2 linked regions of the Drosophila melanogaster genome follow. The protein of the gene in region 1 purifies or fractionates together with the protein of each later gene. This does not show direct contact. Each region holds a gene or a part of one and is shown in the gene's direction. Other genes may lie near its edges.

Region 1 (9,977 bases):
TCATATTAAAATACTACGTGTGTTACCAATTATTAAATATTATAAATCCATGAAGCAATTATAGAAGGTGAAAATGTAAACCTTCAATATGATTTCGAGGAAAATAGTTTGTATAGCTCCTCTCTGTTTTGTCTTAATTTATTTACCAAGCCTTTACCAGCTATTTAAAGCAAACTTTAGGCACAACATAAATTATTTCACTTCCAGAGTAACGTGGCCAAAATGCTTGACATAAAATGCCCAAACATGAGAAGATCTTTCCACTTAATAATTCAAGCGAATAAAGTTCCAACTTTCAACCCAATCTGCTTAGTTCTGGGTACCTGAAGTCAACTCAGAGATACTCATGCATGACTGCCCAACAATTCAACGAAAATTCGACAGCAAAAACGGAAAAAGAAGACAAAAAACCGAAACACGCAAGAGAAGATTTCACTTTTTGGAGCTTAGACAAACGAACGAAGCAGTGGAAAATACGAGAAAATAATACACAGCAATCATAACTGACCTTAATCAATGTCTGCAATGTTGAGCTTTCAGTTGTTTTCGTTGAGTGGGTGGGAAAATGGAAATGTATCTTTTCGGAAAATGTATCTTGGAGTGTAACAAGCATATGCAATCGCGTTTTTTCTCGGCCGAAAGAGGACAAACAACAAGGCAAGTAGTTCTGTTTTTTTTTTTTTTTTTTTTTTGTCTTTTTTTCCCCATGCCTGCGCGCTTGCTGGCTGTAAACAAGTTTGCTGCGAAAACTTCTCAGGCAATCTGAATCTGTACCTGAATCTCGACGGAGGCAGCTGGTAGATGGTAGATGGTTTGCTATGGCACATCTCGGCTGCAGTTTCATTCATATGGAATAGAGAGACAGGTTGGGAAGGGAGTGGGGCAAAACAGGTAACACTGAGAGCGTTTCCTGTCTGGCCAAAAGACACGAGAGGTATCATGTAGCTGCCCCGAGTCTTCCGCAGGTGAAGTAACTTATACGCAATTTCTGGCTCCACTTCAAGCTCAACTTCTGGCCCCTCGGGCTAATTAGTTTGAGCTCTTCTCATTCCCATTCCCATTCCCAATCCCAGTCCCAGTCCCATTCCCAGTGTTGACTATGGTTCGGGTACTGGTTTGAGTTCTGGTTCTGGAGCATCATTAAACTAAGCGGAGATAGTTTTTTGCGACCGGATCGGTCGACATGAGAGCTCTTTCACTATGCAAACCGATCTTGAATGAACGAGCCGGCCATAAAATCATCACATTGTGAAATTTGTGCACAGTGTGCACTGCACACCATGCAGCTCCAGCCAATTCATTCAGTTTAGCTTCAGTATCTCGTATCTGGCGGAAGTGACTCATTCGGTCAAGACTGAAATTACGCCGCACTCGACTGGCAAAGCCAGGCAAAGAAAAGACAAGCGAAGCGAAGTCGCCTTTTTTCAGCTACTCATTCGTCTTGCCGGCTGCAAGCTTAGCAGTTCTTTTTGTTGTTTAGCACTGAAAAAATGTATGGTAAACTGTGATTTCAACTCACAACTTTTAAATTAAGTCAATGGAATATTCAAGCATGAAAAGACATATATATATTGTTACAAATGTGTAATAAATGTGGTATGTATGATATTATAATACAAACTAAAATTTATAATACATTTATTAAATTATTTATTTATTTAAAATAAGCGAAACCTATTTTTACGAATATGATGGAAGGAACTTGAAGTATCATTAATTTTAGCAAGTTGCTATTATTTTCTTTTCGTGTACTGCTTTCTTTTAATTTGACTTCTTTTTTGGGTCTGTTTTTGTTTTTGATTGACTGTAGGTGCGGAGGTGAAGCGGGGGCCTCGATGAATGGGAATAAGGAATGGGAATGGCGAGTTAGGAACACCCAAAGTACATTCAAACACTGTAAACAGACTCCACAAATTTGTAAAACATTTTCAAGACGTGTTAGTTAGTCGGAAAGGTATCTTCTTTGGGAAAATAAAGAATTTCGAAAGCTGATTAGAATTCTATATGGTGGTAAATTAATGTTATTTATGACTTAGCTGTCAAAATGCTTAAAAACAAAAAAACAATTGCATTTCCAAGTATTTTAAGCTCGACGAGGCCACAATATAAATTGTGTTCTTGGCGGATAAGAGTTGGGCCTTTGTACGTTTAATCAAAGTCTGCATTCTTCATAAATTTTCTACTTCAAGGAATTCCTTATTATTACCGCAACCACAGCTAATATTATTATAAAGTACAACAAAACAGGTCGGGCCAATTAAATGCGATTTAATGATGTCATGCGATCGGCCCACGGATGTTTATTTATACCGCATAAATCCTTGTTTATACTGCGCGAAGCCAATTCGAGATTTTTACAACGGAGGCGTGTGTAATATAATCCTTTCAACCGATTCGGCAGTCCCCACATGTTGCATGCGAATGTTGCGAAACGGTTGCGGCAACACACGACCATTCTCTCTGTCTGCTTTCTCCGTTTTGTCCGCTCGCGAGCCGAGCGGCAGAAGAGCAACCGAAGTTACTTCGGCGGCGGCCGAGTGGCAAAGCGACTGCGGAGGCTTTGATTGAAATCGAAGAAGCTCAGTTCAGTTCAAGTCGATGTACGCTGCCGAGCGGTTGCGTCGTTCCCGCTGTAGCTGTCGCTGTCGTTGTGTGTGTAAGAGTGCCGCTGGAGTGTGTGTCTGTGTGTGAGAGTACCGCTAGCCAGGACACACCGTTATTTTGTGCAGTGAAAACAATTGCCAGTGTGTGCAATGGCAATGGGCACAATCAATGCCTAGATCACAACTCATCGCGCCGCCCTCGCTCCAAAAATCCAATTCAAACACCATCCCCTTTCGCGTGGACCGAGGTTCGCTCGTAGCGCAAACGAAAACGAAACCGAAAACGACGAAAAAACGCGATGCGAATTAAAGCTTTGCGTGGCAAAATGTGCTAACCGAAGCAACAAAACAAACCAACCATTAAAAAAAAAAGAAATAAGAAAATATACATACATATTATATATACACATGTATGAGCAGCACGTGAAGAGGAAAAAATCCAGAATAGCTGAAGGAAAATTGCGTAGAAAAAGAATAATAGAAAAAACAGCCAGGGAAATACGAATTTCGTTGGCCGAAAAATAAAAACGATTATCATCCAAACGAGTGTGCCAGTGTGTGTGTGTGTGCGAGTGAGAGAGCGCGCGTGTGTGTGCGGGAGCTAGCCCTATAAATAACATTGGGTCTGGGCGAGCGCTAATTACGGCAAAACATGAAAATCTTGGCGAAAACCGCAGCAACAACAAGTGAAGCCAAGGCGGCAATTAATCAATTTTCCGCTTGACCCATAAGGAAGTTTCCATATCATAATTAAAAGAGGGGCGCAGAAAAACGAAGGATACAATCGCACGAAAGTAAGAGCAAAAGGTCAACCCAACGAAACATATCCTTGAGTTACGCAAAAAGTAATGCAAAATCTATATAAATTTAAACGAGAACTGGAAACGTTTCCATATCAACACAGGACACATCAACTAGTTTAAATCAGAAACTAACTCAGATAAAAGAATAAAATATCATAAACAAATTAAAAAACTTACAAAAAGACCGATGTATTCGTGTGAAAATCGTTAACTCATCATATCATAACTAAAACAACTGAAACCCCCATGATATTGCTAATCGCAAATAAACACTGGGCTTTGGCCTAGAACGCTCAACTAGAAGACTTAAAGAAAAATCCAGGAAAATGCATATCAGGGAAGCAGTTTTCCTGGTCCTCACCCTGCTGCCTGGAATGATCCTGGGCACTCGCTACAATCAGCTGCATCTGTATGCCAATGGAGGAGCATCGTCATCGGGCCCTGGAGGCTACAGGCCCGCCCCCTCGTCCCAGAACGAGGTGTACTCCATAGCGGACAGCCAGCCGATGACTGAGGATGGCTACATGCCCCCCAGCCAGCACTTTCCGCCCACCCACTCCGACTTGGATCCCCCCGCCCAGCAGCAGAGCACCTGCCAAACGGTTTGCGCCTGCAAGTGGAAGGGTGGCAAGCAGACGGTGGAGTGCATCGATCGCCACCTCATCCAGATACCCGAGCACATCGATCCCAATACCCAGGTGCTGGACATGTCCGGTAATAAGCTGCAGACCCTCTCCAACGAGCAGTTCATCCGTGCGAATCTGCTAAATCTGCAGAAGCTGTATTTGAGGAACTGCAAGATCGGCGAAATCGAGCGGGAGACCTTCAAGGGACTGACCAATCTGGTGGAGTTGGATCTGTCACATAATCTGCTGGTTACCGTGCCCAGTTTGGCCCTGGGCCACATACCCTCACTGCGCGAACTCACCCTGGCCTCCAATCACATACACAAAATCGAGAGCCAGGCCTTCGGGAACACACCATCGCTGCACAAATTGGATCTGTCGCATTGCGATATTCAGACCATTTCCGCCCAGGCATTTGGTGGCCTCCAAGGATTGACGTTGCTCCGATTGAATGGCAATAAACTGAGCGAGCTTTTGCCCAAGACAATTGAGACCCTGAGTCGTCTTCATGGCATCGAACTGCACGACAATCCCTGGCTCTGTGATTGTCGATTGAGGGACACGAAGCTCTGGCTGATGAAGAGGAACATACCCTATCCGGTGGCACCGGTTTGCTCGGGTGGCCCCGAAAGGATTATCGATCGCAGCTTTGCGGATCTGCATGTGGATGAGTTTGCCTGCCGACCGGAGATGTTGCCCATATCGCATTATGTGGAGGCGGCCATGGGCGAGAATGCCTCGATTACATGTCGAGCTCGAGCGGTTCCAGCTGCGAATATCAACTGGTACTGGAACGGACGGCTGCTGGCCAACAATTCCGCCTTCACCGCGTACCAGAGGATACACATGTTGGAGCAGGTGGAAGGTGGATTCGAAAAGCGATCCAAACTGGTGCTGACCAACGCACAGGAAACGGATTCCAGTGAGTTCTACTGCGTGGCCGAGAATCGAGCTGGGATGGCCGAGGCCAACTTCACCCTGCACGTGAGCATGAGAGCTGCGGGCATGGCCTCCCTGGGTAGTGGCCAAATTGTGGGTCTGAGTGCCGCCCTGGTTGCTCTGATTGTGTTTGCCCTTGGGGTTATCATGTGCCTGCTCCTGAGGGTAAAACGGCAGCCGTATGTCGATAGCAAGACGCCCAATCACATGGAGGTGATAACATCTGTTAACCACCAGAACTCCATAACAAACAAGACGCAGCCCGCAACGGGAAATGGCAGTATTGGCGGCGTGGTCATCGCCAATGGAGCTGTGGCCAACATAATCGATGGCGGAGTGGTGCAGGGAGGAACTCTGGAGCGGAAAAGCAGCGGACGGGGAGGTGTACCGCATGGAGTTCACGATCAGCGCAGTGCAAATCCCGTGCAGAAACCGCCGAGGCTAACAGATCTTCCGTACTCTACGCAGGGCTATGACAACAACGGAAGTGTCCTGTCCACTGCCTCCTGTTTCATCTCGCCCAGTGGATCCACCGGAAACGGTGGCAACAATCCTGATCTCATTAATGATACCAAACGTTTTGGGAGCGACGAGTTTGCGGATCTGAAGATACCACCCATCAGTGGTGTTGGAGTCGGCGGCAGTGGGGAGTATAGTCGCGCCAACGGCTGCGATTCCCTGTATCCTTCGGGTCTGTGGGAACATGGTGCTCCAGTGGGCACCACATCCGCGGATGACCTCTTCATGAAGCGCTACACCGACAAGACGCCCATCATAGACTCCACACAGCTGTACGACCTTCATGAGCGAACGGCGGCCACGGATTATTTTAGCAAGACATTCCCGAGATCTCACCTCCAGCAGGGCATGATGACGGGTGGCGGTGGAGGAACCTCGACGGCGTCGACGGTAACCACTAATTTGTCGGGTGGCTCCTCATCGGGTTACCCCAACGATTATGGTCTGCCTCTGGTGCCGGGGGCAGAGCACCAGCACAACCACCAGCTGCAGATGCATCCACTGCAGCAGCTCCAGCAGCAGCTGACCTCCACGCTGAACCATCAGAAGCAGGAGGGCAGCTCCACCGGGAGCAGTCCGCACTTCAGTAGCCGCACACTGCCACGCCTGCACGAGGGCAGTGGCGGGGGCGGCAGTTCACGGTCGTCGCCGACGCCAGCGGTTAGCGGTGGCCATGCCAACCAGGCGGCAAATCCCAGCACCTCCAGTTCCTCCTGCTCCATCCTGCCCAACGGGCAGCCAATTAACGCCAAGACGATACGGGTGTGGCAAAAGGGCGGTGTGCCCGTCCTGCCACCCGTGACGGCGCTGAAAAGGGCCCTGATCAGCAGCAGCCGGAATTCGCCGGACGAGGGATACCAGGAAGGATGCGGCACGGATGTGTAAGCGCAGCGCTTCTCGGCGGAAGGAACGGCGAGGAAACCAAACCAAGAACTGACTAAACTTAACACAACTAAACAAGAGATATAAAAATAATAAAAAAAAAAAAAACAAATAAGGTGTAGCGACGGATGGGAGGTAGCTCTTTTAGGTATAACACTGATAGATAGCTCCGGGGTCCTAGGCGAGCAGCGATTATTGTGCAAGCGAACTGTTTGTGATAGTGTCTGACAAAAAGATAATGCGAATGAAGATAATAATTGCCCAAAGCAAAGAGAAAGCTAAAACGAAATCAACTGCACTACACTAAAGTATACTTGGCAAGTAACTCAACTAACTAAACTAAACTAAACTAATTGTAAACTTAAACTAATTTAAAATAGGATATGTACAGCATTCTTTCTTTGAATAACATGACAAACTCTCAACTCCCCGCATAACGTAAAAATAACCCAAAAATACATATATGGAAAACCAACCATGTGAATGTAACTAAATCTATAAATATGAATATATATACACATATATATGAATATGTATGTGACTATGTGTGTGCATGTGTGTGTGTAATTTCTTCGTTGTTCGGTTAGAAAAAAAAAAGGAAAAAGGAACCCAAAACCAATAAGCCCTTCCTCCAAGAGTTATTATCATAAATCAGACACCGAAAATCCCAACTTGTGGCTCAACATTTGTATAATATACGTTCACATGCATGGTAAAACTGCCGAAGAAGTTATATAAATCTTGGTAACTGTATATATTAGATAACCCATAGACAAAGGAAAACCAATTCTTGATCCGACTATTGTTGAAACCATTCTATTTCCCGATAGAAGCTGTGAAATATTGTTAAGCTAAGTCGGACTATAAGTCTTACCAAAGGGGTAGCAGTAAAGAAGTTTTTGGAACTATTATTATCTAACATTCTATTTATATACGAGATAATTTAAAATTGTTATATAATTGCCAATTGTATTAAATTCTTTTTTTGTTACTTTTGTCTCCAGTATCAACATGATTTTGTCATCCATTCTAATTTGCATCTATTTTATTTTATTATTGCATTTGCAAAAATGTAATCGTAATCAAATTAAGTTCGCTTTCTCTAAAACGTTATTTGCTGTGCACTATTTACCCTAAAACGTTATTTACTGCTACCAAAAGTTTAAGAAACAAATTTTGAAAAACCAATACCACATGTTTTTAAATTTCCCACTAAATCAATCAGAATGCAAACTCGGGGGGATGAAATTTAAGAAAATAAAAACTGTGGGCAGTCAAAAAACAAATATGAAAACCAATCGGAGAAAATTCAAATTGAAGACAGAGAAAAATATTTGACGAATGCATACGTAATATAACATATGTAAATTGTACTCAAAGTGCACACACACACACACATACATACACACACACGCTCACTAACACATCACAGGCAAAAGAAACACATAGACAGATACGTGTACATGTAGATGTATGTCAGTTTGTCCTTGTAACGATTTAAAGCGTATCCACAAGATATTAATTGCCCGTATGTGCTAAGACTTAGAATTTAAGCAGACAACAAAAACCAGAAGGAAACACAAACAAAATAATATTTTTAAGGTAAACCAAAGACTTTTTTCTTTGCATCTAAATGAGCGCAGGAGTCTTCAAAGGACTCGTAGGCACACACACACACACAAACACAGATACAGAACACACACACAGCCGAAAGTAATCTTAAACGAGAAAAAAAAGAGCAAGAAAAAACCGTAGCATTTAAGTTGAACTTATGTATTATGTATTGTATAATATAAACCTACGTATAGTATATAGTCTATAGATGTGTACACTTATCAACAGAGCGGCATAGCTAACAAGCGATGGAAAGGGAGGAAGAGAAAGTCGAGAGCGGGAGGGAGAAAGAAGATAGCCCGCAGACAAAAGGCGGGCATTGAATGCATGAAAGCAACTGAATGAACAACAAAGCAAAAAGGAAATATATATAACATTATATATATCTATATATAAACGAAAAACATAAACCATTGTCATTATTTTTTACCACCAAGATTTCAGCCAAAGGTAGGTATGCTATGCTCGGCTAGCCGGGCAGAGGGGGCAGTGGTGGGGCTCGCAGGTCACCTGGGGATGACATGACCCAATTAGTTGGCCATTCGAATGCTGTCCGAAGATGGGGCTAAAGCCAAAGCTGGCCATGCTGCGCTTCCCATGTTATTCGCTGCTGCGCTTTGGCATATTAGGGCCAATCGTCTAATCGCCAATTATGCATTTCAACCTCAAACCCAACCTAAAACCCCACCCCAAAAACCCAACCTCATACACACACACGCAGACAAGCTAAAAGTGTGGCTTGAATCGATATGGCTAATCGGGGGAGGCCAAAATCATGTCCGTGAACGAGGCATATGGAATACCCTCAGAAGCTTAAAACTGAGTCAAGGAATAATAATGGAACTTATTTGTTAGTTGGCATATTTACAAAAAAATATACCTTAAAAGTAACATTTTTAAGTGCTTTATCAATTTTTGAAATAATTTAATGAACATTGCATAATAAAATTCCAAAATATAGCTAGATTCTAACTAAGCACCGTTTCAAAATTTTAATTTACAAACTCACTACTCGAGTAGTGTATAAATCAAATGCCGTCCATTTCAGTGTTTCTCCTTTCAAATTCCCACTATCTTTAATCCCTGAACTTGTGCGGAGCGGACTAGTTTTAGTCAGACATTTTCCATGGCAAATTGGAGATGCCTTTTTGGGCGACCTCTACTCCATCAATATGCACCCTGCGACCCAGTGGCCTCTTCACCAAAGCGTGTACCTACATTTGTGGATGAGTTGCCTCCGGTGAGGAGGTGTTGTGGGCGGGAGTTGTTAGGCAGCGCGTAATATATACGGCGGCCCAGTGCCAGATTATATCATGGCGTGCGGCCATGCCAAACTGTCTGGGCTCAACCGCCCGCCACCCCGAAGCTCCAGACCCCGCGCATCTGCGGATATGGCCACCAAGCCTTATTGACGACGCGCAAAGTTTGCCAACTAAACAAGTTTTGTGCCTCAAATGAAATTTAGGTTGCAACTGAAGCCCAACAAAAGCCAAACAAAACACAGGCCAACAGGCGAATGGAAAGCGGAGGGGGGTTGGGAAAAAATTAGAACTTTTCTGCGCCGAAGGAAAGTGTATTTTATTTGTTCAACTTTATTACGTATACGTGCCGTTGTGCCGCCTGTGCAAATAACCAAAAATGCAAAACGTGGGCCCGGCTATCTGCTCCGCCAATTCGGCCCGGCAATTGCCATTCCCCACCAGGTGATCTCTAATGAAGCCTCCGACATTGTGGCATCGTCAGGTGCTCGTCGCACTTTTATGTTGCATACATTTCTGCGCTTTTGGGCGCTCTGTGTTTAACGACTTTGGCCAGCACATGCGTACACTATGCCAAAATATGGTAAAAAAATTAGCAAGACAACAAAAGAAAACAAATTTTAATTATGAAAAAAAAAAATAGAAAAATTAATCAACTTTATTTTTCTATAACTTTACAAGACTATCGATAAGAAAAGTGTCCTTGAAATGTCATGACATTAACTGGGTTTC
Region 2 (7,109 bases), on another chromosome or scaffold:
AAATGTTTCGTACATTTAAATATTGATTGACAACTAATACTGGGAATTGGGATATATTTTTTACGACAGGATTCTAGTTGATCCAGATCCACTTTCTATGCATCTAGAAACGCATGTATGTATGTACCAAGAAGCATTGCACATTGTTCTCAGTATTTTACTCTGAGCTGTACGGATTTTCTTTATGGTGCAATTTAGCAGCAACTCCATAAACTTGAAAGCCATATCTTCAAATCGGTTTGAGGATGGTTTTATATATAGCCAACTTGCTTTTTAAGGAGAGCTTGATACTAGGAGACAGGAGCCACGATATTTTCGCAACTTTTGACAACATAGCCAAAGTATAGATAATCCCAAGATATTTTCCATACGACTTATGCTCCAGCACGGATCCAAGATGCGTATATATTCCAGGTCTGATCGAAAACATAAACTTTGCTCATTTGCTACTGTTTATTCCTGTTTGTTCCAATCCTGCGTCAATTTTTCAAAGCAACAAACATACTCCTGTGGAAAGGGGTTTCTGACTAGAACTGCGGCATCATCAGCGGATGTTGCAATGAGAACGTCATCAGTGTCCACAGTTTGGACTGAAAAGCTTGACTCTCAGATGAATGCAAATACATAAATATTGTAGGTTATAAGTTACACCTTTCAATTATATATTTTAATTATATTACCCAAAACTTAAAATTTATCAAGCCAATTGGGCATCCTTCTTGGGAATATAAGCTGGGTAATAAAGCCTGGGCAATGGCTCCCGATAGACATGTCCAGTGGATGGATGGACCCAGTTCAAATCCATATTCGCCAGGTACACGTACTCCTGCCGAGAAATGCGCACTTGGCAGTGCTCTCCAGATAGATCCGCAAACTCCTCAGCCGCATAGTTGTCCAAATCGATCTCGTACAACTTTTCCAAGCAAGGAAGATGATGATGGTGATAGTGACCGAAGTCGACCGAAATGGGGAAACCTGCATCCAACTAGCACATCCAACTGCAGGGCCAGCTGGAAATGGTGATGAGCCTGGCTACTTTAGTCACCAGTCACTTTAGTTGGCTCCTCCTCCGTCGCCTGCAACGCCACCTGGCTGATGGTGCGCTTCAAGGAGTCCTCCGTTTGGGTTCATCGGAGTCGCCATTAAGAGCAACTTATTGTTAAAGTTCATGTTCATTAATCAATCTAAAATCTAAAGCTAGCTCACCAACTCAACTGAGTCAGCTGCTCCTTCAGCAAGATGTTCATATTTTCATATGGTTTTAGTTCTTCATTTACAGATACAGATACAGAATAGAAGATACAGAATAGAAGATTCCACATCATTGGTGTCAATGTCTTTTTCCTTTTGGAGGAAATATTCATTGAATATTCTCTAAAACTATATAAGTTATTATGCCTGAATAGAGTCGATCTTTAAATAAAAGCAAAAAACAAAACAATTTTAAACATTTAACCAACTAAAATAGAGAAAACGTAAAATATTGTAAGTGGAGTGTGTTATTCTTGTGTTTTATATGTTCGCAGTTGTTGAAATGTTTACTCACCAAATGAAAATATATGTAAGTCCTAGATAGGAAGGATATAAAAGAATATTAAATAAAACGAACATAGAAGATGGTTACCTTGTTCTCATGAAATGTGTGTTCTATTTTTATGATCCTAGCTTGATTTGGTGCTTATGTGCCCAGTTTATAGCATAATTTGTCATAATTAATTTGGCGTCCATCTGTGTTTAGTCTACTGTACATTTCAAAATGCTGCAATACCAATTGTAACCTATCATGATCGAGCAGCATTTCATTTAGTTTCTGCATTTCAAATCAAAAAAATATACATCTTTTATTTTAAAACTTACACAATCAATTGGCGAAAAAATCGATTGCTCGCCAACACTTCTATTTCCCTATAACAAAAGATGCGTTTTTTAAATAAATAAAAAAACCAGTATTTTTTCTGTAAAAGATTTACTTTGCTTGTTTAAATTTTTTTAATTAGAAATCAAATTAACCAAATTTAAAATTAGGGTGTCCATAATTAGTTGTCGACTTTTACATTTCAAAACATTTTCAAGAAGTGTAGGCGTGGCAGATTTGAGCGATTTGTGGGCGTTAAAGTGGAGGTGCCAACATTACTTGACAACTAACTTGCGCTGCGTATGCCTCTTAAATCTTCAGGTCTAATAAAAAATTAGCTTCACTTTCTGGTATCTCTTATAAATAAATAGGAAATAAAGCTATATTAATATTAAGGCATAATAACAAACATCGAAAACTTCCAAAATTAAGCAATTTAAAGTATCTTTCATTGAAATGTAGTAATAATGCCATTGCTCTTATGCTATTATCAATGTGTACTGGTTTCCCATGATACCTTACTATTTAATTTTATGTAAAGGGAACCTTACATATTTATGTATTGGATTGGAATTGCCACTCGTTTCTCGCAGTGTATCTGGCTGGCTCCACACATGGGCGCGTGTATGCTCTCCCCTTACTGACGTACTTAATTCTTCGCAGTTATTCAGGGGCACAGAGAACGCTTCACTTTCCTTCTTTTTTCGCCGGTGACGTAATTAATGATGCTAGCCGCTGAAATTTTAAAATGAATTGCACTACCAAGCAGCAGCTCCTTTCCATTTTGTTCGACGATCAGAGGTCTTAAAATCAAACTTCTGTCAACTGGCTGATGAATTCATTCAGTTTCTAACGTTCGCGATGGAGCTGAAATTCTTATTTTGTGTTCAACTGATTTTTTGAATACATATGTATATATTTTGTACTGAGCTCTGTTCTTGAGAAGGGAGAATCTATAGTCGAGTATATCGGTTACTTGGCTAATGGAAATGCGAACGCGAAATTTTAACATTTTTCTTAGGTAGATATTATTGGGGAATGAAATAAGAAACTATTTAAAAATTGCTTGGGTAGTTTTTGGCGGCTTGTGAGCGTTAGAGTGGGCGTGGCAAAATGGGTCAACAAACTGGCTCTGCGTCTATGTTTATGTATAGAACATGTATGCTTAATCTCAACATCCTAGCTGTACAATAAGACAAAAAAAAAAAAACACATTTCATTGGCATCAGAATCGTTAAGGGTAAAATTGTCACGACTTTCGTACCATGGTTTTGTTTGATTTGATTATGGTGATAACTAAAATTATTTTTTTTTATTGAAAAAAAATTATTGATTTTAATTTTTTTTGTTTTTGTATACATTCATTAAGTGAAAAATCGCCGTAAATTTGATTTTATAATTCGTTACACACGTTTTGTTTCAGTGCTTTGTTGCTGTTGCAACCCCTCAGCTGACGTTCCAGTCGAACATGTTGCATGACGGCTCGGCTTAGTTCGGTTCGGTTCGCTGCGACTCGGTTCGATGCGGCTCGAGCGGCCTGCTCTCGAACAGATGTGCGTCGCAGTGTTGTTGCAAACGCCGGTCGCGTAGGTTGTTGCTAGAGTGAAACGTCGAGCGCATCGCCCACCCACATACACATATGTACGTACTCGAGTGCGCGAAGCAGTCAGTTGTTGCCGCCAATTGAATGGACAGTCGCGGTTAACGAAACACGAAAAGTCGTCTCGACTCGCCTCGCGTCGCGTGGAGTTCACTTGAGTTGAGTGGCGGCTAGTGTGTGTGTGTTTGCTTTTTTTTTCGAACGCCGCCAAACACGCGGCTGTTGCGGCTGTCCCGGAGTGCATTACTCACACTTTTTTTTCGGTTACTTGCAAGTGATACCCCTTAAACGAAAACAACAACAAGCCCCCCCCACCCACACACCACTTCAACCCCCTCACAAGCAGCTAAAGCCAAAAGGTGATTATATTTGGAAAAGTCACGCCGTGGAGTAAATAACGGAGCGGAGAGCGGATCAACACAAAGCGTGGTAAAGAGAGTGGAGAGATAAAGAGTTAAAATAAGTGCATAGAGTGCGAGTGGGAGAGATAGAGCGAGCGAGCGGGAGGGAGAGTGTAAGTGCTGCCCGTGTGTGAGAGTGTGTGTGTCTGTCTTCATGTACGTATGTGGCTTCTTTCAATGGTAGTCGTGTGTACCCGTTGAACCGGTTCAACACTCATCTTCGACTTACCTGCAAAACAACAGAAGCAGCAATGATAACAACAACAACAACGACAACAGCAGCGACTGCAGCGTGGTTTGTGCTTGGAAAAACATGAAAAACTGAAACTGAAGCAAAATGCAGCATCGCCAGAAGCAGCAGCAACAACAAAACGAGAACAACAACGTGCAGCTGCAGCAATTGTAATGTCAAATGAATCAAACAAACTGCATCATTTGCGTTTCCGAAGGCAGGAAAATAAGGGAAAGGCAAAGAAATGAAGAAAACATACATATTACATATGTATATATAAACATATATATTTAGGTATATATGTACGTATGTACGTAAAGTGCAGTCTGCAGTTTAAAAGCCATTAACCCCCAAAAACTGAAGTAACGAACCATCCGCACGGAGATCGCTGTTTTCCCCACTGAACTAACTTAATTCGTTTAGCCAGAATACACTGATCCCGTTGCAAATTGGTGGCTAATATGCAATATGATATTTAATTTGCAACCATATATTCTGCATATTTCACGCGTGTGTGCGTGAGCGCTGTAGGGTTAATACGAGAGCGCTCACTACCTGCGCGCCCTGCCAAGGGTTAAGCACTCAGGCAAGAAGTTTCGCGTGTAATTGACGTTGCCAAAAATTAAGAAAGAAAGAAAAACAAACAAACAAACGCAGAACAAAACAAAACAAAACAAACCAGTAAGGGAAGAACAAAAGCACGAACAGAAATTAGAAGACAGCGAACAGAAGAGAAACTTAACTTTTTCTCTGTTCTTATTTCAGGTTATATACCCTTGCAGATGGCACATTAAATTCGGTATATCGGAATATCATGATCAGTATTTAGAGTCTAATTAACGGTCCACCTGTCCGTTTGTCTGTCCATTTCCATAAAAAAAAGTCTCAGTTTTATAGCTATTGCATCATGTACATAGCTGTCATAGGAAAAATAAGAAAATTAACTGAAAGTGATAAAATAATCATCGGTTCTTAATCATGAAGTATTGCTCGGTATACAGGTGTTTTGTATTATTACTGCAAGGGTATGTAAGTTTCGGCTTACTTTCTTGTTCGCTTTTTTGTGTGTTTGTCCATGCAGTACAGTTAGCCGCCAGTGGTACTGTCGAAGTGTGCGTGTGTTTCTGCGGGTGCTATTACCTTGGTATTATTGGTAGGTATGTAGGTGCGTGTGTGTGTGTGTGTGTGTGTGAGTTGGTGTTTTTGGCGGAGCACTTTTTGTTTTCATGAATTTATCCTTGGGACGAATAAGAACTGCAGGCGAAAGGAGCGAAAATGTAGCAGGAGGACAGGGGAAATCGGGAAAGCTAAAAACAAACAAAGGGATTAGCAAAGATGCGAATATTGCGGCCCAGAAATTAAGACCACAAGAAAAAGTGCCAATAAGAGTTGTTGGGAAACAATTGGAGGATATACCCACGCCCAAACATTTTTGATGTGTATGCAGTGTATGCATTCGCTTTGAGGAATGCTTCATCTGGTTTCATCAATCTTTTGACGGAAATGGAGTTTATACATATGTATACTATCCTAGAAATGCTATAAATTAAAATAGTGCGCGTTATTTACGGAAAATATAAAATCTGTAGTCAAAATTTATGTTTACTACCCTAAATTTTTATGGGTATTAAATGGTATAATATGATTATGGATCTAATTTTGGGGCGCCTTTTTACTACAAGCCAAATTAAATATGACAGAAATGGAATTTTTCGATTTAGGGATGCGTACGACTATTATGATTTCCTCATGACGAAAATAGATTTTCCACTTCAAAAGACAAATATTCCCTACTCTTTCTACTGAGTAACATAGAAAAGCGGTGCAGAAATCTACACTTAATTTTTGTCTCACAAAACACTTGGATCAAACAGAAACAACAAATTTGGTACCCATACAATATGTACAGTTGCCACAAAAACGATCAAGACCAATTAGAAATGTGTATGTATGTATTTGATTGAAAGCAATTATTAAACAAAATTCACTTAAGTATTGTTTTTTTTTTTATTTTCTACATGAACCATTAATCGAAATGATACTAAAAGGAACATGTGAGACATTTATAAACAAGCACTTGAAGCCATATGTACATACATACATAGCATAGATTAGTCGTCAATCTTATAGATAAAATGTTGTAAAAAACGTTCTGCAATAAATAAGATTTACAATTAAAAACCAAATAAGCACATGAAAGGGATTTTCTTTTCTATGGCTTTGAACATCTCACATCTGTAATATTACATTCAACCCAAGTAAGTGTAATTAAAGATTATCCAAGGAAAGCCTGAATAAGGATTTTAGAAAAATCATAAATAACGTTAAGCAAAAAGTACTTGAAGAGATTTACCTTCAATTTGTTGACAAGACGAGACGAGACGAAGTTTTCAGTGCGATTTGCGTCTGGCTTAAGCTGAATTTTTTGGCTGTATGCCTGTGGCAATTTTGTGGTTGGACTGTCAGTCAGTCGACTGCAGAAGCGACGAATTCGAAGTTCATTAAAACTACCTCAACATTTTAAAGTACAATTGGCTTGGGGGAACTGGTAAGCTTTTGATAGAGCTCGATTTTTTTTTTCTTTTATCAAGACAATGACCCGAATGCCGGAGTCGGAAATTGTTTAAACATCGCACGCTTGTAATTGTCACCGCATTTTTTCCACCGACGGCACTCGAAAAAGACGTTATCTAAATATTCGTAAACAACACAGGGAAAATAACAACAGCAAACGAAAATTATCAAACGAGTAGAGGGTACACTTGAGGTCATTGATTTGAAATTGGAATTGGTCGTATGTCAACTTGGGATATGGGAAGTCACCAAACAAAAAAGTGGTGATAAACGATGCATCAGCAGTCTTGTGGCATGTGTACATACATAGATGCGAACCAAGGCATTTCACACACACATTTCACACATAAGCTCCCAATGTTGAGCTGAATATCGAAAACGTTTTCGACTTTACTGGACTTGAGGCCAAGTCACTGTGTTCCACTGCAGAAGATGGATAACACCACC

Evidence for each region.
Region 2: the proteins of kek1 (region 1) and kek5 purify together in Drosophila melanogaster (affinity purification with western blotting; one study listed by BioGRID). This does not show direct contact.

Annotation. Positions count from the first base shown.
Region 1 is NT_033779.5:12,815,416-12,825,392, reverse strand, and holds kek1 (kekkon 1), read left to right. Parts: upstream 1-2,605; 5' UTR 2,606-3,732; coding exon 3,733-6,375; 3' UTR 6,376-8,393; downstream 8,394-9,977.
Region 2 is NC_004354.4:19,349,770-19,356,878, forward strand, and holds the start of kek5 (kekkon 5), read left to right. Parts: upstream 1-3,411; 5' UTR 3,412-3,884; intron 3,885-7,109.